Linked DNA regions of Drosophila melanogaster. The protein of the gene in region 1 interacts with the protein of each later gene in a pairwise test. Each region holds a gene or a part of one and is shown in the gene's direction. Other genes may lie near its edges.

Region 1 (5,330 bases):
AGGAGCAATTCAAGCAAATGATCGAGCAGGCCGGATTCGATCAGGTGTCCTACGAGAACCTAACCTTCGGCGTGGTCAGCATTCACTCCGGCTTCAAACTGTGACAGCCGAGGATGATATTTGTTGTAAGCGATTAGGAAATCCTAAGACCATTTGATGGGGCTTAACTATAATCTATATTGTTGGTTTTTTGCGTTTTTTCATGCTGCTCACGTCGGGCAGGTCATAAAGCATCGAATTAAACAAGCTCCTCTGGCGGCTTTTATTTCTGTATGTTTACATTTTGAGGTTTATGTAGCTCTTTGTCAAATATATGTACTTCATGTGCCAAAAGGCAAACCCAAACGGCAAACTGATGACATCTCCGGCGGCAAGGCCTGGGAAAGACCTTGAGGATTGTGTGCCAGACCCACTTAGATGCAAAGGGCGATATGGTGGTAGCCCAATAACCGAACTGTACCAGATGCCAGGTGTAAGGCACTGTAATCGATTTAAATTCCACACACCCAACGGGTCGTTTCCAAAAAAAAGTGAAAATCTCCATGTAGGCTAATCGAAAGTCCATTTACGGCGATGGGATGTGATATAATGCAGAAACTATCCACTTATCTATTGACTTCAGTTCGCCATCAGATGTAGTGCAGGTGAAATTTATGCGTGTGAATGTTGAATTTTAACGAAATTCAAATAATAGCATTGAAATGCCATCAAAATAATTGACCGTGCCATGCTTAATAGGTAATTGCTAATTGGTGCTTTGCAATTGTGCGCTTTTGCTTTTATTACAATGGCTTTATTATGCTTTCACCCGGCGACTGATTAACACGGATTGGACACCCGAATAGCCGCCCATATTATTGGCCGGATTATGTAAGCGGAGACACATTTGATTTGTATCTAAATTGCAGCCAAATCATAAACCTTCGGACCTTCCATCTCCGGCAATCGAAAGTGAAAAGAGTCCGGCGATAAAAAACAAAAAAAACTGAGCACAAAAAGCATGCGGAACATGCAGGCCATTGAAAGCAAAAGTTTGGTGCGTGCGGCAACGTGCTGCGCATGCGTAGGTGGATTCCGGCCAATGGGACAGTGGAGCGGGGCCAGGCAATCAGTGGGACTAGTGGGCAAAGTTGTTGGCAAACTATATAGAGTTTTAGCCTTTTAGATTTTTATGATAATAATCTCGATATCTGAATAAGAAGTAAACTTAGATATGAAGTGTAGTAGGAATATTCCATACTTGAGGAATATACATACCATATATATGCGCACAATCTACGGTACCACAGTGCGTGGTCAGGTGGCGCAGCATAATGAGGCGCTGCTCAGTGGTCAGTGGTCAGTGGGTGAGGGGTCTTCGATTGCGGCAGGTGAAATGGCAGCGTAAAAGTCATAAACTGCCCAATCCATGCCGTATGCCATGCCGATGAGCCGCTGACGGTGGTGCATTGCTAGCACCACCAGTGCCACCGATTGGTATGCACAGTGGGTATGTGCCACTCCACTGTGCCGCGATGTCCGCTTTATAAATACAACAGCGACCAAGGAAGTTCATTTCATTTTCTTGTCGGCGATCGCAGCAAACGGATTAAACGCGAGGCGAGGCGATATATTACATAGTGTCCAAATATACGCATATAGAAATCAAGTCCACTGAATCGAAATGAATCTCTTGGCCAGTTCGAGGAGCCTCCATCTTCTGATGGTCTTGGCTGTCATCTTGGTTTCTCATCGAGCTGAGGCGGGCTTACGTTTGCGTCACACCAGTCGATCGGTCACGCCCCCCGCCAGCACAACGCCCACTTTGACAGTGACCTCCGAGGATGCCCCGCTACAAGAGGAATCGGTGGCGGAGAGTGCCCCAACGGCCAGTGTGGTTACCGAACCGGAAACGGAAGTGGAGGTCACGACCGGAAAGCACAAGCGTGGCATTCTACACGGCCACGCCCACCTGCACGGCCAATGGCCCGCCCGCACCTATGCCGCCCACTACGGCTATAGCCTGCAGCTGCCAGGAGGCAGTGCCTTCCTGGCCGCCGCTCCTCCGCGCCGCCACTTCGTCAAATACGGCCATGGTCTGGTCAAGCCGCTCGTTTCCGGTTCCGGTTTGCTGCCCGCCTTAGCTCCCGCACCCGCTGCCCTGCTGCCCGCCGTCGCCTCAGCCCTGCCCGTTGGATTGCCCACCGGTCTGCCCGGTGGCGTGGCCAGTGCCATTCCCGCCGGAGTCGCTACTGCCTTGTCCACCGGCGTGGCCACCGCTTTGTCCACCGCCGTGGCTCCGCCCTCGTACGTCCTGCGTCCCGGAAATGCGGTCGTCTCCTCGTACAGCGTCAACTATCCGCACCAGCACCTGCAGAAGCCCGTGGTCTTTCAGTCCGCCGTAAAGCCTGTCCACTTCCATGCTCCGGCTCATGGCCATGTGCATGCCGTGCAGGTGAGTTAGCTACATAGGAAACTTGTGGAATATCCCGTTGACCATTTCATTCTTTTCTGTTGCAGCCCACTTATGTGCAGACCTATGCTCCGACTGCTCCGGCAGTGCCTGTTCAGCCCGTGCAGCCAGTGCAGCCAGTTCATCATCTCCAGCCCATTCAGCCCCTTCAACCGGTGCAACCGGTGACCACCCATCTGCAGCCAGTTAGCCCAATCCAACCGGTTCAGCCCCTTCAACCGGTTCAACCCATCCAACCTACAGTGACCTTCGGTGTTCCGTCTCCCCCAGCTGTGGATTTGCCGGTGATCCCTCAGTTCCCACAACCGCCTCAGTTCCCCGGTGTGCCGACCTTTAGCTTCCAGCCCGCTCAGCCAGCGGTGCCAGCCCAACCCGCTGTGCCCGCCCAGCCGGCAGTTCCAGCTGCACCAGAAGCCCCAGAAGTGCCACAGGTTCCCGCCATTCCACAGATTCCGGCCATACCGCAGATACCCCAAATACCACAATTTCCCGGATTCCCTCAATTTCCCGGCTTTCCCCAGATTCCCCAGTTCCCCCAGGCGCCAGCCATTCCATCACCTCCCTCCGTTCCAGGAGTTCCAGCTGTACCCACGGTCCCGGCCTTCCCCAGTCCACCAACTAGCCAATTCTTTCCGGCTGCTCCACAGCCACCATTGCCGCAGCAGCCACCCACTTTTGGCCAACCAGAGTCGCAATTCCCCGGCGGAATTGTACCGCTGCCGGGCTCCACTCCCGTCCGCCCTGAATCCGGCACGGGTATAGCCTCGCCGCAGATTCCCCCACAATCACCCGAGCCGGAGACGCCGTCGGAGGTGCCACCACAGCGGCCATCCGTCCAGCAGCCCTGGAAGCCGGTATTCTATAGTCCACCCACCGAATCCGCGCCAGCGTCGCCGAATCGACCCTCGATCACCCTGCTCCCGCCATACGGAAGTGCGCCAGCTGAAGGTGAGCTCAGATGACGTTATGGATATATATTATTATGCTATATTTCAAACGAATATTTTCCAGGTTACCTGCCACCCGTGGGATCCCAACCGTCGGCCCTGAGTGCCAGTAGTGCCGGAATCGGTGGTCAGGGCGGCATCTTTGACCAGCTGACCGATGCCGAGCTGGAGCACATTTTCGCCCAGGCCAACTTGGCGCAGCAGCAGCACCAGCAGCAGCAGCAGCAGCAGCAACAGCAGCAACAGGGCCACAACTACCACCACTACTGAGTCCACCACTCACTCCACCTAGGGATCTTTTCAAATTTTTTTTTGTTTTTTTTTTTTAAGCCTTCGTTCATTTGTGCTCTACTTGTATTGTAAATTATGTTGCTATTAAATAAGTTATTTATCGAAAAATTGAACAGATCGTTTATTTATTGCGTAATAATAATAAATATAATAAATAATTTAAATAACTAATTCTATTGCAAAGTATATGCGAGATATAGACATAATATCTTAGTTTATTTCCTTTTGGCACATACATATTATCTATTTGAATTTCATTAGGAAATTCCCTTTGGCTCGGCGCATTTTCATTTCCTGAGCTTTTCCGGCGCGCGCTTTTCCCCCAAAGGGCTTTTCACCTTGAACTTGGCGTTCGTTGGTTTCTTTGGAGCTTTTCCCGTTCAGCTTTTCATTCATAAATTGCCAGCCGGCGCGCTGAATGAGTGCGTTGTGTGCTTGGTTGGGTGAAAAGTGGGCGGTTGGGCGGTCGGCTGGGCGGCGCCAGTGGGCGGGGCACCTGGAAAGGCCGCATGCCACATGTTGCAGGCATTCGCTCGCCTTTTTTTCAGCTCAGTTGTTTGTTATCGTTGGCGGCGAACGCGCGTCTGCTGCGGACCAAAAATCGACTATATTCCGACTATATACCGCGCATATATATTTTTGGATCCACCGATCCGCGATCTTACACATTGAAGTGCGGCGAAGTTTTATTTTGATTTTGATTCTTTTTGGTTTTTTTTTGTTTTTTTTTTGTGCTGTGCCCATCAGAGTCTATAATTAAATATTGTTTATTGCCCGTTGAGACGGTGGAAGAAAAAAAAAGCGAAGAACTCCCTGGATGTCAATAGCGATCATGCGTACGTCCCGGAATAATAAACAATACCCCTTTTTTTGTTTGTGTGTATATTTATCGGTGCAGTTATAGAGAGATGCCAGATATCCCCCGATTCCAATGTGTATAGGTTTTTATCTACTTTATTCGCAATGTTTGTGTGGCATTTTAACGCGAATCGAAATAATAAACCCGGCCAAGATATTGACCATCTGCGGATGTGAAAGTGCCTGGGATTTTCGATGGTTGTGTGAATGTTATCCATGCGATAATTGAGGGTTTATAATTTAAGTGTGCTACCTTTAGGAAATTCATATGAAATATACATATATGTATATATAGGAGGGTATTTCAAGTTTGGATTCAAATTGAAATTAAAGCTAAGACAACATAAAGAATACAAAAAAAAAAAAAAATCATTGAGAAAAATGGCATGAAATCGAATACAGGCTTGAACATTTTTTAAATGGATAGTGATGGCAAAAAGTATACAAGCCAAAACTTTCGAAAATGAAATAATTTTACAAAGAAATTCCAAAAGTTATATGCACGAAAAGGTGCAAAAGTGATGAAAGTTCTGGATGTTTGACAAAGTTCAAAGGGCACCAAGAAGTTTTTCGAATAAAGTTTGAGCTCGAGAAAACATAAATGTCCGCGAATAAAAAGTGCATTAGATACAAAAGTTTTTCTTTTTTTTGCCGGTGCGTTGCTCAATTTTTTTTTTATGTTTAAAGTTATATAATAAGAGTACTGAAAGAGTTTGCAAATAAATAAATGAAACTATTTAAGGCATACAAAGAAATGCTACGAATTTTTGGAATATACATAT
Region 2 (5,344 bases), on another chromosome or scaffold:
TCAGTTGTTGCGTGTGATTCGCGTACGACAGGGCGGAAACTTTGTTGCTACATAATCAGAAGTGCCGATTACTATCTTATTTTATGAATATTATTTAAGATTGGAGATACCTATGTCCCTGCAGCTCGTAAATGGTGCCACGTTTGCCACCAACATCCCAAACTAGCACGGACTGATCGCAAGCTCCGCTAAACAAGAGCTGAGGGCCTTCCACCCATTTGAGGCACCGGATTTCCGCTAAAAATTAACCAATTCGTATATAATTAGCTTACTAAATATCATTTGTAACTTGTTTACCCGAATGTCCATTGAAAGTGGTAATTAGTTGCACTCCCTGAACATCGCACCTTAGCATTGTTATCTGTCCAGCATGATCGCCCACAAAGGCATACTTGGCCAAAGCGTCGAACCTAAACGCAGATTATAATTAATTATATGTTGCTTATAGAATATTTCGCACAGTGCACACATTTATGCCAAAATTTTGTGTAGATAAAATGACTCAGTTGACACGTCATTAACAATAGAAGGTTCTCAAATTCTAAATGAATTCCATAGCCGTGAAGAATTGCAGTTTATTGCCGTGTCAAAGAAAGCAGTTTAATCCAATTAAATGACCCGCTTATCCCATATCCACTGTCGCACCCCCTTCCCCCTTTCACCATCCATTTATCATACTTACTGGAGAGCCGTGCATGGTGTCTCAAAGTTGTATCCGCCCACCCGTTTGCCGCTCTCCGTGCAATGATAGGCGAACTGCTTATCTTTGCCGGCGGAGAGTATCCACTTGTGGGTTTTCGAGAAGACCACGGCCATGACCCGCGCTTGATGGGACAAGTAATCCCGCAGGAAGGACAGGCGATTGCAGTCTTCGGATAGCGCGTACTGGGTGACCGTTCCGTTTTCCTGGCCGACGTACAGGTGCCGGGATTCCGAAACGTACTCGATGGCCGTGCAGCCGGAAGGCATATACTGGCAAATGCTAGGCCAATATTGACCAGAATCGCGTTTTAGCCAAACGCGAACGGTTCTATTGGGGAAAACATGAAAATGTCAGGCATACCATTTGTGTATATTTTTAATGGGCTACAGCTACGCACTTGTCATCGGAAACGCTAATTACGCCGTTTTCGCCCGGAATTAGGATCGCTGCGTTCACATCGTCGCTGCTGCCCTCCAGCTTACTCAGCAATTCCGGCTTTTTGGAGGTGTTAAAGCGATCATTGTTGGTCCGCTGAGCTGGTTTTATCTCGGCAGCCATATTATTTAAGGTGGATCCAGTCCGATGGTACGCCTACGCCCTATTTAACGCACTCGATGATAATGCGGTTATAAACAATCCGATTCTCGGACTGGGGAAGGTGAATGGAGATACGTGATTCACAATCAATTAACAAAACTGTGTTATTTTGTTTAACATTAAATATACTGAACTTTGTTGTTGGAAAGCTCGTCTAGATAGCGACGCCAAGTTTAGGAATGCTGCGGAATAGTGGAATCGATGAAATGAAAATAGAATCTTAATTGTTAGATATAGTTTTTGCGTATTATTGTATATTATTTTGCTATTAAAAATACTGAAGGTATTTCGTGTGATGTGTCGCAGCATTATGTATGCATATGCACGCACCACATTTTATAAACATACAAACGAGCATTTGAATCTTGAATCTCAGAAATCGCTTTATAAATGTATAGTCTTATGATTTTCATAATGGCATATCATATCTAATAAAACCTACGGACCACGCACAGTTATGTTTCCGGTTATCATGCTATTTAATTATTAATCACAAAATATTTGTTTATATTGTGTTAAGTTTTTAATACGTTAAAATTTATTATTACACATAAATAAATAATTTTATTATAAGTAGGGTTAACGCAAAATATAGCTAGTTAAGCAGATTAGATCATTGTGAGTGTTGCTCAGTGGAAACAGAGCTTTTCCAAAAATGTGCTTGGTGGAATTGAAGTATAATAAGGCGCTGTTGTATTTATTGTTTTTCAAAATCCTTGCCCGCCAATAGAGTAAAAAAGGAATGCAAAACATGTTGATAGTTTTAAAAATTATTCATAATAGCACTCAAACGAGTTGATCTGTCCAGCAAAACTAGTCTGAGCGGCCAGCTTACAAATGGAAGATAACAAGGAGCTGCAATGCTTAATATGCAAATATTCGGACACTGACGACCTGGTCTTTGGCGAATGGATGATTGTACGCAATTTGCAGGTGCACTATTTTTGCCTGGTAAGTGCGATTGTTGTGAAATGAAGAGAACTCCCGCTAATGTAAACTTCCTGATCCAATCCACCAGCTACTCTCAACGCATTTGCCGCAGCGCGGCGGAGATAGCAGTGGAATCCTGGGATTTCTGCTTCGCGATATCCGCGAGGAGGCAGCCGCCGCGGAGAAGAGGAAATGTTGGTACTGCAATAAGATTGGGGCCAGTTTGCAATGCGATCGTTGCCGGTCATTGTTTCACCTGAAGTGCGGCCTGGAGAATCGCGCCGTTTTCGAGTTCTGCGGCCAATACAAAAGCTACTGCTACAAATGCAGGCCGATGGATGACTACAAGCGACAGCTGCAGTCGAATCCGCCGAGGAACGCCACTTGCCCCATCTGCTTCAGTTCCATCTATAAGGTAGAGCTGCATTGCGTTGTGTACGGTGACTGCTGCCGCCTCGGATTCGCCCATAAGAAATGCATGCGTCAGTACGCTCTGACCTCCGGATATTACTTGCGTTGCATTTGGTGTCGTTCGGAACGTTTCAGGGATTCCATACGCCTGCAGTCGGTATTCGTGCCCGATCGCGATGCCACGTGGGAGAAGCAACGGAACGCCTATAGGGAGCTCCACGAGCGCAATCTGAAATGCGACCAGCCCAACTGCCTGTGCCCCAGTGGTAGAACTTATAATAGATTATCGTGGGTGATACTATGCTGCAGTTCTTGTGCCGCCACTTCGGCTCATCTTAAATGCTTGGTGGGCGCCCTGCGACTGCCGAAGAAGCGCGAGCGTACAGATTTCAAGTGCTCTATGTGCCTGGACGTGGAGAGGAGGATTGCTGAAGGACCGGCTCGCACAACAGAAGAAACCAATGCTGACGGCGACAACCAGGTGGATGGCTCTTTTTATGTGCAAAAATTGGGACCCGATGCTGCAACTCGATCCTTAACCCAGACTCCTGTTTTCTCCGAAGAAGACGAAAGCGAACGAAGTAGTAATATCACGGTTATATTCAGCCAACCGAAATCTAACGCAACAAGCGAGAGGTTATCCTTATCGCCGCCACAGGAGGAGATGATAGTGGAAATTCCTGATTCGCCAGAGGCGTCGCCAAAGACGTCCATCGATGAGAACCACTCGCCGCAGCCAATAGCAAGAAGGGACACATCCGACTCACCACAGCCAATAGCAGCAAGTGAGATCCCCGACTCACCGCAGCCAACAGCAGCAAGTGAGATCCCCGACTTACCGCAGACAACAGCAATAAACGTAAACCCTGAATTAACGCAGCAAACAGCATTAAACACGATTCCACACTCACCGCAGCCAGAAGCCAGCTTCTCAACGCAGCTAGTATCACAAACTTTCGATTGTCCACAGCCGCAGGAACAAGCTGTGGCGAAAGCTCCCAACTCACCGTCACTGCCGAAAGAGGATCCAAATACTTTACTTGTGCTAAAATCGGGCTTTCAATGCCCTGGCGAACCATTTTTCTACTTGGTTATCTACGAATTTGAGCACGGCACATGCATGGGTGAGTGCATTGGTACGTGTGTGCTGCGATTTAAAGAGGATGACCCGCGCATTCAGGACACCTCGCAGGCAGCTTTGGAACGCGTCAACATAACACCAGACGATGTATGGTGCCGCAGCGAGGACCGCGGCATCTTTGAGCATATCGAGAAGTTCCACGAATGGTACAGATCAGAGGGGTTCTCTTAAATATTGTTTAAAACAATTCTTAATGTTCTTAATGTTTTAAACAATTCTCTTGTGTGGGAATTAATTCGTCATAGAATTCTAGTCTCTTTATGCATATATTGTTTCGCATGATCATCCAAAAAAAAAAAAAAAACAAAAAAAAATTTCCTACCTCTGAAACCACTTTAAAAAGGTTTAATGATTGTTAAACTAGAGAAGCATGCAGTAAATAAATTGTGTTTTATGTTTTTGTATTTATAATTTAATTCTAACCTATTATTGGAGTACACATTGTTTCACTTCTCCATTGAAACCATATCTCGGCAAATAAAGAAGGCGGCTACCAGAGCTGCAGTTTGAGCCACTTCTGTACATCCTTTGGCCAATCTCTCCTCGATCTGAGCTAGCTTTACAATAAGCTTGTTCATGACCGACATAGGCAGCTCAACTGTTTGGAATACATATCAATAACTTGACTTGATGATAACTTGATAAAAACTTACGTCTCATAACAAACAAATGCAATTCTGTAATGATGTCTTCCAAAGCGAGACCTCTTGCGTACTTGGCACTTTCGACAGCTATGCAAAGAGAAGAAAGAATCATTAGTTTTGATCTTTCGCCATTTCAAATCGCATCATACTTTTGAAGGAGTCCTCCAAGCTACTGCCGGATAGCAAGGCCTTCAATATCTGTTCAATATCCTGCCTCAACGGATAGCCCACGCACATGTAGACGTTATCCTCGTTTACCGTATCAAATGCCATCACGGTACTCTGCAGGACGTTCAAGACCTTTCTCATATCACCTTTGGCCAGGGTCAGCAGTGCCCGCTTGCCGTCCTCAGTTATCTGAACGCTGATAGTTGATAGATTTTAGGTTAGTAATAAGCTATTTTATGCAGTTGAAAGACCTTACGCTTCGGCTTCGATGATTTTTTCCAGTCGCGGCATCATCTGATCCTGGGATAATGGAGCGAACCGAAAACGGGTGCAACGCGACTGCAGCGCCGGAATGATTTTGCTCAAATAATTGCAAATCACACAGAAGCGCACGTTGTCCGTATATTTCTCAATTATGCGGCGCAGGGCATTCTGGGCATCGTTGGTCATGGCATCGGCCTCGTCCAAAATGATCAGCTTAAAGGTGTCGCAGAAAATGGTGCGTGTGGACGCGAAGTTAAGGATTTGACCGCGCACAATCCCAATGCCTCGGTCATCCGAGGCATTCAGCTCCAGGACCATGGACTTAAACTGCTGAGGGGAATACAATTGGCGAGCGCAGGCCAGGATTGTACTCGTTTTTCCCGTGCCAGGTGGTCCGTAGAACAGCAAATGGGGCAGCTGCTTGCGGCTTATAAAGCGGGTTACTAGAAGTACACTTAAATGTGGTGGCTTTGTATGGCTAAACGC
Region 3 (4,857 bases), on another chromosome or scaffold:
AGCGTCGACCGTCGCTGGTCATTGGCGATACACTGCGAGTCATTAATCCCTGGTCGGATCCCGATTCCCAGACCACCAAGTCATACGAGGGCATTATCCATAAGGTGCTCTTCGATCGCATTTTACTCAAATTCCATTCCAGTTTCCAGGAGAAATATAATGGCGAGGACTATCGACTAGAGTTCTATTTCTCACGCTACAGTTTTCGCAAGCAACACCATGCCATCTCCAAAATTGTAGGAGTAATGGGCGAGGATTTCTTGTTTCCCAGCAAAGTAACCAAGCGCGAGAATCCCCAGCTGGATGTTTATATGAAGGATGACGACATGTACTTGTACGATTCGAAATTAGAGTGGTATAATCAGTCGCTTAATTCCATCCAAAAACGTGCTGTTTTCAATATACTGCGCGGTGAAGCGGAGAACATTCCTTATGTGCTGTTTGGGCCTCCGGGCAGTGGAAAAACAATGACACTTATTGAGACACTACTCCAGTTGGTTAGGAATCTGCCTGGTGCCCGAATCTTGGTGGGAACGCCGTCGAACAGCTCAGCGGATTTGGTGACAAAGAGGCTCATCGATAGCAAAGCTTTGCTCCAGGGAGATTTCATTCGCCTCGTTTCGTACAATCAAGTGGAGAAAGACTTGATTCCTCCGGAAATAATGAGCTACTGCGCCACAAGTGATGTCGGTGCTGTGGGCAGTTGCGAGGACAAAGTGAGTAGAAAAATTTTATCATTTGGATTGGACACCAATTAATCTTGGCTTTGTTGATATTTGCTATAGATGATGGTCACCGAATCGGGATTGAAGCTTCGCTGTCAAGCTAAGTTTATAGGTACTCATCGCATTACCATCTCCACCTGCACTACTTTGGGAAACTTTTTACAATTGGGGTTTCCAGCGGGCCATTTCACTCACGTGCTGTTCGATGAAGCTGGTCAATGCACCGAACCAGAAACAATGGTACCCATTGTAATGCTAACGAAGAAACGCTCTCAAGTTGTTCTCTCAGGTGATCCTCGCCAGCTGCAGTCTATTGTCACCAGTCGAATTGCCTCGAAAATGGGATTTTCCATATCCTTTCTGGAGAGATTGCTGGAACGGTCGCCGTATCGAAAAGATCTTCAGCGATTTCCCGAAAGCTCCGGCTACAATCCACTAGTGCTAACCAAATTGTTGTACAATTACCGAGCATTACCGTCGATTATGAGCATTTATAGCAGGCTATTCTACGATGACGAACTGATCCCAGTTCTTTCCGAAAAGGATTCAAGGGAATCTCGCCTACTAAGTAAACTGCGGTGTGTATTTGAGTCAGAAAAGGATATCCCTCAAGCGCACGGCACGTTCTTTTACGGAATCATTGGCGAAAACAGGCAAAATAACGATTCCCCTTCCTGGTTCAATCCCCAAGAGGTCAGGGAGGTGTTCCTAATGACCATCGCCCTGTACCGTGCCAATGTGACTGCCGATCAGATCGGTATAATCACGCCCTATCAGAAGCAGGTGAAGATGCTTCGGAGTATGTTCATTGGCACCGACGTGGTCATGCCGAAGATTGGATCCGTCGAGGAGTTTCAGGGACAGGTGGGGTCGGAACTAAAATCGATATTACGTGCACACTTAACGTTTGTTATTTCCAGGAACGAGACATTATACTAATATCCACGGTGCGTTCATCAGAAGAGATCCTGCGCATGGATGCCCGCTTCTCCTTGGGATTCGTGCGTTGCAGCAAGCGACTTAACGTGGCCGTTTCCCGAGCACGTGCCATGATGATCATCTTCGGGAATCCCCATCTTCTGGCCGTCGACGAATGCTGGCGCCAGCTAATCCTGTTCTGTGTCAAAAATAACGCCTATTTTGGCTGTGATCTGCCTCAAATGGTGATAAATCAGAAAGATGAGGTCCCCGTTTGCTTGGAAACATTCGTGCCTTCACTGAATACTACAGATGATTTGAACTAAGCACATATGACAGTTTATTATTAAATTAAAACACTTGTTATTGATGAATTAAAGTAACACAATTAATCATTAAACTTGTTTTAAATATTTGTACATATGTGCTAATTTTAGCGAATGGTAACACTCCCAAGCGCAGTCTGGGAACGCTGCTCGTTTGGCTTCGCAGTGTGGTAGCACTGGCCGGAACCGTTGTAGCGCCATGTTTGCGCTCCTTTTGTTTTCTCCTTCATTTGTTTTGCTTTTTTCCGCCGTTAAGTTCTTGCCTTAAAATCGGTGATTTAAGGCATTGCATTCAATTTCGATACAATGGAGCAGAAAGTGGCTGCCGAGCAGAACATCTTCGTCGTCGACCGCAAATTGAAGAAAACTTGCCCGCAAGCAGATGTCGAGGTGAACGGACATGTGCTTAACTTTTGCGAACCCGACTTTATTTCGTTAAATACCAATTTGTAGCGCCTGGCTAAGACGCACTGGCTCACCGACTATGCCCGGGATATATTTTTGACCATGAGGGAGCAAGAACTCAGCCGTCGGCCTTTGTTTTACCTTTCGCCGCAGCTGAACGAGCGCCGAAGAATGCTGCAGTTGCTCAAACTGGCGACCAGCGCCCACAAGCTTAGTCGCTGTGCTTTGCACCTGGGTGAGCACTGTACAGAGGAGCCTCGCTGCAGGCACAAAACCCATGTGCACAACTCATTGTAACTCGTTTCACTCCAGCCGTCTACTATATGGATCGCTTTGTTGATTACTACAAAATCCGTCCGGACAAATTGCTCCTGGTGGCCATCACTTGTCTTCATATAGCTGCGCAGATCGAAAACACGGATGCGTTTATTCCGCGCTACAGCGAAATGAACCGATTGGTCAAGAACGCCTATACGGCATTCGAGTACAAGGCTGTGGAAAGGAAGATCCTGTGCTTCCTGAACTTCGAGCTAATACGTCCCACCACCGCCAGTTTTGTGGAGCTCTTCGCCTGCAGTTTTCTCACTCGCTCCGATTTCAAGAACTACATCGAGATGTTGGATGAGTACGAGCGGAACCATCACACCCAGCCGTACCAGCGATATATAAGCTTCGAAGAGATGCTGTCCATTTTGGCGCAGTTGCTCCTTCGCATGGCGGATTATACATTGTACAGTGAGTATCGAATTCCCATGGAAGGTATTGGATACCACTTAACACTCATTCAGTTTCCAGATTTGCCAACGATCTGCCATCCCTTTTGGCTGCCGCCTGCATTGCTGCAGTTCGCCAGGTCAGCGGGGTCAGGCGCTGGTCGGAGTACCTAGTTGGACTGACCTCCTATACTGAGGCGAATGTCGAGCCGTACATGAACGTTCTGACCGACTATTATTATTACCATGTTATTCAGACCGACTACGGTAGTCCCTCTGTTCAGACCAACCAGAGTTTAGCCAGTCCCGATTCCGGATTCGAGGAGTCCTTCACTGAGAACACAAACCTGGTGGTCTCCGATGAAGTGGTCACAGTAGAGACCTACAACATAATTACCGTGCAGCTGCAGGATCCATCTCCACATTCATCGACTTTCCTTCCCAAAGAGCAAACGAATTTGAAGCGATCGCGCTTTGAAGACGATACCGAAAACCAGCACCCATTGAAACACGCCAAAGTGGAGAGTGTAGCCAAAGATTAGTAAAAGGGAAAAACGAAACTATTACCATTTGGAGGAAATCCAAATAGCTTAGAAGTGAAATGACATCCATAACGTAGATATGGTCTTGTTCAATTGAGTTGAACCTCACCCATATAATAATCGTGATGTTATGCTTTAATATATATGTATTTAATATATATTTGAAATTATCTTATAAACTTATAAATACAATATGTCAAAAACTCAACAAAAATGATGCATTAACTAAAAACAACGAAGACATTATTTATAATTCGCTAAAGAACAATGCCCCTTGTTTAATTTAATCAGACGTTTGCGGGAGCTTTCAAATTAAAAATTCTTATAACTATAAGGGTTTACAATTCAATTTGGAATGCCAAATTAAAGATGTCAGTTAAGGAACAATGAAAGGGTCATTAAGGCTTTCTTATTTTTACATAGGTTGTATGACTTAAGATCGAGTTTTTACAAAAAAGAAACGAGATAGATTTCGGAACTCAAGCAAACTTTGGACAGTTCTCAATACATTTTCAGCTTCACAAATGCAAAAAGATTAAAACTAACTGCTATTAGAAGTTAATTGATTGTCCAAAGAATACTCTTCGTTCCTTAGATTTCGTGTCGTTACAATCGAATCAACTTAAACATGGATGTTACTCTTTACACTTCAATTTGACGTACGTCTCATATATCTAGCCTAGCCCCTAAATGCACAAGGCGGGAATGCATCGAGGAAGTTGAGGGAATCGGTGACGGAAGGAATGAAGAGTGTCAAACTAACTAGCTTACTTAAACATGCATTGCTAATCCCAGTGTAGTAAGTAGTTGCGTGGGCCAAGGTGCTGGTAAACATAAAAGTAGTTTGAATTTACAACATTTACAGGACATCTGTACAAGGATTGGCTTTCATCGCTGCATGTCGCGTCGCTTCAGCACGTCGAAGATCACATCGGAGGCGTTCTGTTTGTTGCTTGCACCAGACTCGTCCTCCGAGTCGGTTTGCTCCAGCAATGGCACCGTCAGCGTGGAGTGCGACTTCACATGGACACCCACAATGGCACTGCCATCGTTGAATTTGTACTCCCCTGGCGACGACTCCTCCTGGTCGTTATCGAGCTGCAACTCCTGCTGCCGCTGCATCTCCTTCATATTGGAGTACTTGTGCAGTAGGTGGCAAACGATACCAGCCAGGCAAATGATCAAGCCAATGTAGTTGATGACACTCAGGTGGTCTTTTCTGATAGTC
Region 4 (4,728 bases), on another chromosome or scaffold:
GGCGGAAGGGAAAACTTTTAAATCTTTATTTATAAAAGCTTCCGCACAGGCGGCAACTTTTGTGTGCGAGTGAAAATGAAATAATTCCGACAACCGCAGCCTTGTGGTGGGCCATGCGGTTTTCCTGGCCGAAACTATGCCAGCCAAACTTGCTAAATGCCCTGACAAACTTTTCCCTTGGCAAAAAGTGAGGGAGTGAGCTACAACTCTCACATATATGTATATCAAGATATATTTTCCCGACTTAGGTGCGATTACGCTTAAGACGTGCAAATTGTTTAGCTAATTCATCGCCTGCTTCTATTTACTTGCAGTGCATGCGTGCCTACGTTGAGTTCGAGATTTCCGAGGGCGCTTACGAGATCTCCTGTCCGGACGCCACGTGCCCGGCCCAGGGTGCCATTTCCCTGCCCGAGATAGCGAACCTAACTACAACGAATCTGCTAAAGAAGCATCATAGATATCGCCTAAATCGAGGTAAGTCCTTGCCTAAGAGATTGCCTAAGAGACCTCTTAGTAATGTTACACTTTCATTTAGAAATCGAATTGGACAAGACGCGCACCTGGTGTCCACGGGCTGGCTGCGAGACCATCTGCACGGTGGGTGCAGCAGCACAGCCTGGCCAGTCCAGCGTCATTTGCCAAATGGACGAGTCGCCGTCGACCTCGCAGAGCTACAGTCCACAGCAGGAGGTGGCCGGAAACGGAAGCACAGGTGCCGCGGCCGGAAACGGAGCTCCCGTTCTCTCGGTGTCTGTTCACTGTCCCTCTTGCAAGGACGAATTCTGCGGCCTCTGCAAAAAGGCGGTAAGTGTGTGACATTGTTGTTGTTTCCTGTCATAAACATAAATTAAAATTCTATAAAAGGTTTTTAGTTTTGCGCAATTTTATCACATTTTTAATGGTTTCTAGTTTATAATGATTTCTATCCTTTTTGCAGTACCATCCGAACATAAGCTGCGACGAGTTTGGAAGACGCCTAATTGCCGATGGCCAGGACGACATTGGCATACCGTTCGACAACGAACTGATCAAGTGCTGCCCCATGTGCGCGGTGCCCATCGAAAAGGACGAGGGCTGCGCCCAGATGATGTGCAAGCGCTGCAAGCACGTCTTCTGCTGGTACTGCCTGGCCAGTTTGGATGTAAGTTCCTAGAATCTGGCAAGTCTAGGATATTTCATCTAATTTGTATTCCTGCAGGATGACTTCCTGCTGCGCCACTACGACAAGGGACCGTGCAAGAACAAGCTGGGGCACTCGCGGGCCTCGGTGGTCTGGCATCGTGCCCAAGTGATTGGGATCTTCGCCGGCTTTGGCATTCTGCTGCTGGTGGCCTCGCCGCTGCTGCTCTTGGCTGCTCCCTGCATCATCTGCTGCAAGTGCAGAGGGTGCACCGGGTCCAAGATCGACGAGGTGGACGCCGAACTGGAGGAGGAGGTCACTGCGCTGCAGGGCTAGGTGGCTGGATCTCCACGCATCCCCATCCATACGCGACATAGGCTGCAGCCTGTAAATGCAGCTGCTGTAATTACTGGTAGTTTCTATTGTTAATGACGACAGCTTACGTACATTTATTTTAGTTATTACAATTATAATTGTATATGTGTTAACTAAATTGTGATATTTACAGTGATTCGATTTCTAATTGAATCGACAAATTTGTTGAGAACCTATACAAAGACAAGACGCCTTCGATTCTTTTTAGGTTCTGTCTCTACATATATTCTTTCCTCCCCCTAACCACACCTTTGAATATATATTCGACTAAATCAATCTGTATAAATCGAGTAGGTTCTCTTCCTAGCGCATAAGTTAGTCTAAATATATTAGGAGTACGCCTCGTATTGCAACAGTGCTTTTATAACGCACCCACCCAAACAAAATCGCCCGACTCACCCACTCAATCCTTCTCTCAAGTATTACGCATGCAACTAACACCCAAAATTGATGGGTCACTTTGATCAACTGCTTGGCAATGCTTTTATCTACGCAAAAAAATATATATACTGCATATAAAGGAGGTGTATATGATGTCACTACTACTGTTTATTGAATGTATTTAATTGTAAATTTTACTACGCAGCTAAAACAAATGTATATCAAATCGCTGCTCTCGGGTCGCTTGCCTAAAAGCTGGCAGGTGCACCTAGCTGGGGATGATTTGGTTAATGTAAATTATTGAATTATTTAATGCATATACACTCAGAACACATATATCAAAATACGTATGACATAAAAGTGCGTGTATCTTTAAAGAAAACATATTTAAACTTTACTCTTAATGTGAACAACTACCGCGTATGCTGTTTGAAATAAAAATGTTAAAAGAAAACTATGGAATTGGCTTTTATTAAAGTACTGGGTTATTTAATAGCTTAAAATTCTCATTTCATATTCATGGGCTTCATTTCAAGCTTTAAATTTTCAAGCTTGTAACGGCTATTGTAAAACATGCATATAGTATGGCAACGCTATGTTTGTGGTTCGTGTATGTGCTAGATGTGAACTAAAGTTACTAAGCGAAATCACAAACATGACATTACGGGCCAACCATGGTCACATTAGGGAATGCATCAAATAATAATTTATCGAAAACATTGGCCGGCAAAGAGTTTTTATTTACGGATTTAAGCAGCAGAGAGGAGGACAGGTAAACCGGCTACGCGATGGACGACCAGGCGTGCCCGCGGTGCAAGACCACCAAATACCGGAATCCATCGCTCAAGCTGATGGTCAACGTTTGCGGACACACATTATGCGAATCTTGCGTGGACTTGCTGTTCCTCAAAGGATCCGGCGCCTGTCCAGAGTGCATGGTCCCATTGCGGCGCAACAACTTCCGCGTGCAGCTTTTTGAGGACCCAATGGTGGAGAAGGAGGTGGATATTCGTAGGCGAATTCTGCGCGACTACAATAAACGTGAGGAGGACTTTGCCTCCCTGGCGGAGTACAATGACTATCTGGAGGAGATCGAGGACATTGTGTACAATCTGTGCAACAACATCGACATCATCGAGACAAACAAGCGTATTGAGGCCTACAAGCGTGATAACCGTGAGGTCATTCAGCGGAATAAAACCCGCGTGGGACGCGATGAGTACGCGTTGGAGGAGATGCTGGAGCTGGAGAAAGTTCAGGAGGAGGCGCGTAGGAAGGAGCTGGAGGAACTGGAGAACGAGCACAAGAAGAAGAAGGCCCGCGACAAGCAGGCGCTGATCGAGGAGCTGATGTACAGCGGCAAGGATGCCGCCCAAATTGTCACCGAGTTCGCCGAAAAAGCGGAAAAGCAGCGCGAGGAGGAGAAACAGCTTCCACCGCCGAAGCCCGCCAACGAGTTCTCTACGGGCATAAAGTTCGGACAGACAGCTGATCCCAGTCTGCTGCCCGTTCCCAAATCGGAGGAGGGTCCACTTTTCGTATACGAGCCACTTGTTCCTTTCAGTGAGGGACCTGCCATGCCGCCCACAAATGAGATCGTGTCCAGGGGCTATATTGCCCACATACGAGCTGAAACACCGCAGGAGAACGCCGGCGGATTCACATCCGCTCTGGCTTGTGAACGGGCGCTTCAGGAGGCGCTGCAGGGACTCTACTATACGGCTACAACGGGTGTGGTATCTGGCACCTAGCTCTCTAAAAAAATATCCTTTAATGGTCGCACAACCAGAGCACTGAACGCTTAATTTTGTTGAACAAATGTGTCCTATACGAATCCATTCAGTTAACTCGTAACTTAATATATGTTAAATAAATAAATGCTATATCCTACGTTATAGATATTATTTATTCAAAAATATATTGTTGTTGGCTACATAGTAGGTCAATAGATGCGCAGGAAAATTAATCCTTAAACAAGAAGTAAAAAAAATAACATGTCTATATTAGAATAACTTTCATTTGCAAAGAAACTTAGCTTATTCATTTTGATAATTATTCAAATAAGAAAGTTTCCTGAATTTGTATTCTAAATACAAATACAAGAGATCAAAATGAGCCAAACAGAAAAACAGTTGGTTCGTTCGACTACAGACTTCTTTTTATTTTAAATACTTTTAACAGTAAATATTTATAGGCATTTATAGACATATGCTGGATAAACATACATTGGATTTAACTTGCTCTTTATACATTATACGGATTATAGTTAAATCGTGTGATAGTCGGACGAGTAGCTCGTCACATCCTAAGATCTACTTGCACAGTTAGAGGTAAATGTGTTCTGCGATCGGGCCACTTGCGAGATTTTTGGCCACAGATGGACTATCCTAGCCAAGTACATGAACTGGTTAACTTAACGACCTATGCATGGGCAATGTGGGTAGATTACAGAGTGCAGGACTGGTGACAATGAGAGCGATCGGGGATATGGCTGCTAATACATTTAAAATGTCATAATCTTAACTATGATCGCATGAGTTTTGCTTCTCATCTATGATGATAAAATACACAAAATTAATATAAGCTGGGATGGAGGCGATGTGTGTGTGTGCTGGGTCACGCTACTCGGGCAGAAAATGCCGCGAACGATGCATGTGGAATGTGGAAGCAGCAACTGGCGCGAGGTGCCAGAACTATCAAACGTTCAAGTGGTTTGCATACGCTTAGTGGTTAAATGGTAGGATAACATTTAATTTAGACATAAATTTGGTCTTAACAATCTAATTAAAATGTTAACATTTAATAATAGTTTTTCGCACACGCCTTTTGTTGATTACACATAGCTACAA

The links.
Region 2: the proteins of CG12723 (region 1) and pie interact in a two-hybrid assay, tested with the Drosophila melanogaster proteins (one large-scale study listed by BioGRID).
Region 3: the proteins of CG12723 (region 1) and CycJ interact in a two-hybrid assay, tested with the Drosophila melanogaster proteins (one large-scale study listed by BioGRID).
Region 4: the proteins of CG12723 (region 1) and Mat1 interact in a two-hybrid assay, tested with the Drosophila melanogaster proteins (one large-scale study listed by BioGRID).

Annotation. Positions count from the first base shown.
Region 1 is NC_004354.4:13,188,106-13,193,435, reverse strand, and holds CG12723 (uncharacterized protein), read left to right. Parts: upstream 1-1,552; 5' UTR 1,553-1,663; coding exon 1,664-2,434; intron 2,435-2,499; coding exon 2,500-3,400; intron 3,401-3,463; coding exon 3,464-3,669; 3' UTR 3,670-3,793; downstream 3,794-5,330. Other genes in the region: Coq5 (coenzyme Q5), read left to right, coding at 1-104; Lgr4 (Leucine-rich repeat-containing G protein-coupled receptor 4), read left to right, coding at 4,508-4,526.
Region 2 is NT_033779.5:10,419,437-10,424,780, reverse strand, and holds pie (pineapple eye), read left to right. Parts: upstream 1-2,000; 5' UTR 2,001-2,137; coding exon 2,138-2,251; intron 2,252-2,318; coding exon 2,319-3,953; 3' UTR 3,954-4,156; downstream 4,157-5,344. Other genes in the region: Wdfy2 (WD repeat and FYVE domain containing 2), read right to left, coding at 1-47, 111-237, 298-410, 683-1,030, 1,101-1,261; RfC3 (replication factor C subunit 3), read right to left, coding at 4,229-4,380, 4,436-4,513, 4,576-4,790, 4,851-5,301. UniProt on the Drosophila melanogaster protein: Required for survival of imaginal disk cells possibly by regulation of cell apoptosis. Required for germline stem cell self-renewal through mediation of BMP signaling.
Region 3 is NT_037436.4:3,464,264-3,469,120, forward strand, and holds CycJ (cyclin J), read left to right. Parts: upstream 1-2,164; 5' UTR 2,165-2,275; coding exon 2,276-2,359; intron 2,360-2,422; coding exon 2,423-2,609; intron 2,610-2,686; coding exon 2,687-3,109; intron 3,110-3,162; coding exon 3,163-3,629; 3' UTR 3,630-3,835; downstream 3,836-4,857. Other genes in the region: armi (armitage), read left to right, coding at 1-716, 786-1,589, 1,646-1,969; CG14971 (uncharacterized protein), read right to left, coding at 4,518-4,857.
Region 4 is NT_033778.4:10,737,660-10,742,387, reverse strand, and holds Mat1 (menage a trois 1), read left to right. Parts: upstream 1-2,558; 5' UTR 2,559-2,667; coding exon 2,668-3,630; 3' UTR 3,631-3,771; downstream 3,772-4,728. Other genes in the region: CG33144 (uncharacterized protein), read left to right, coding at 315-477, 539-807, 941-1,144, 1,202-1,459.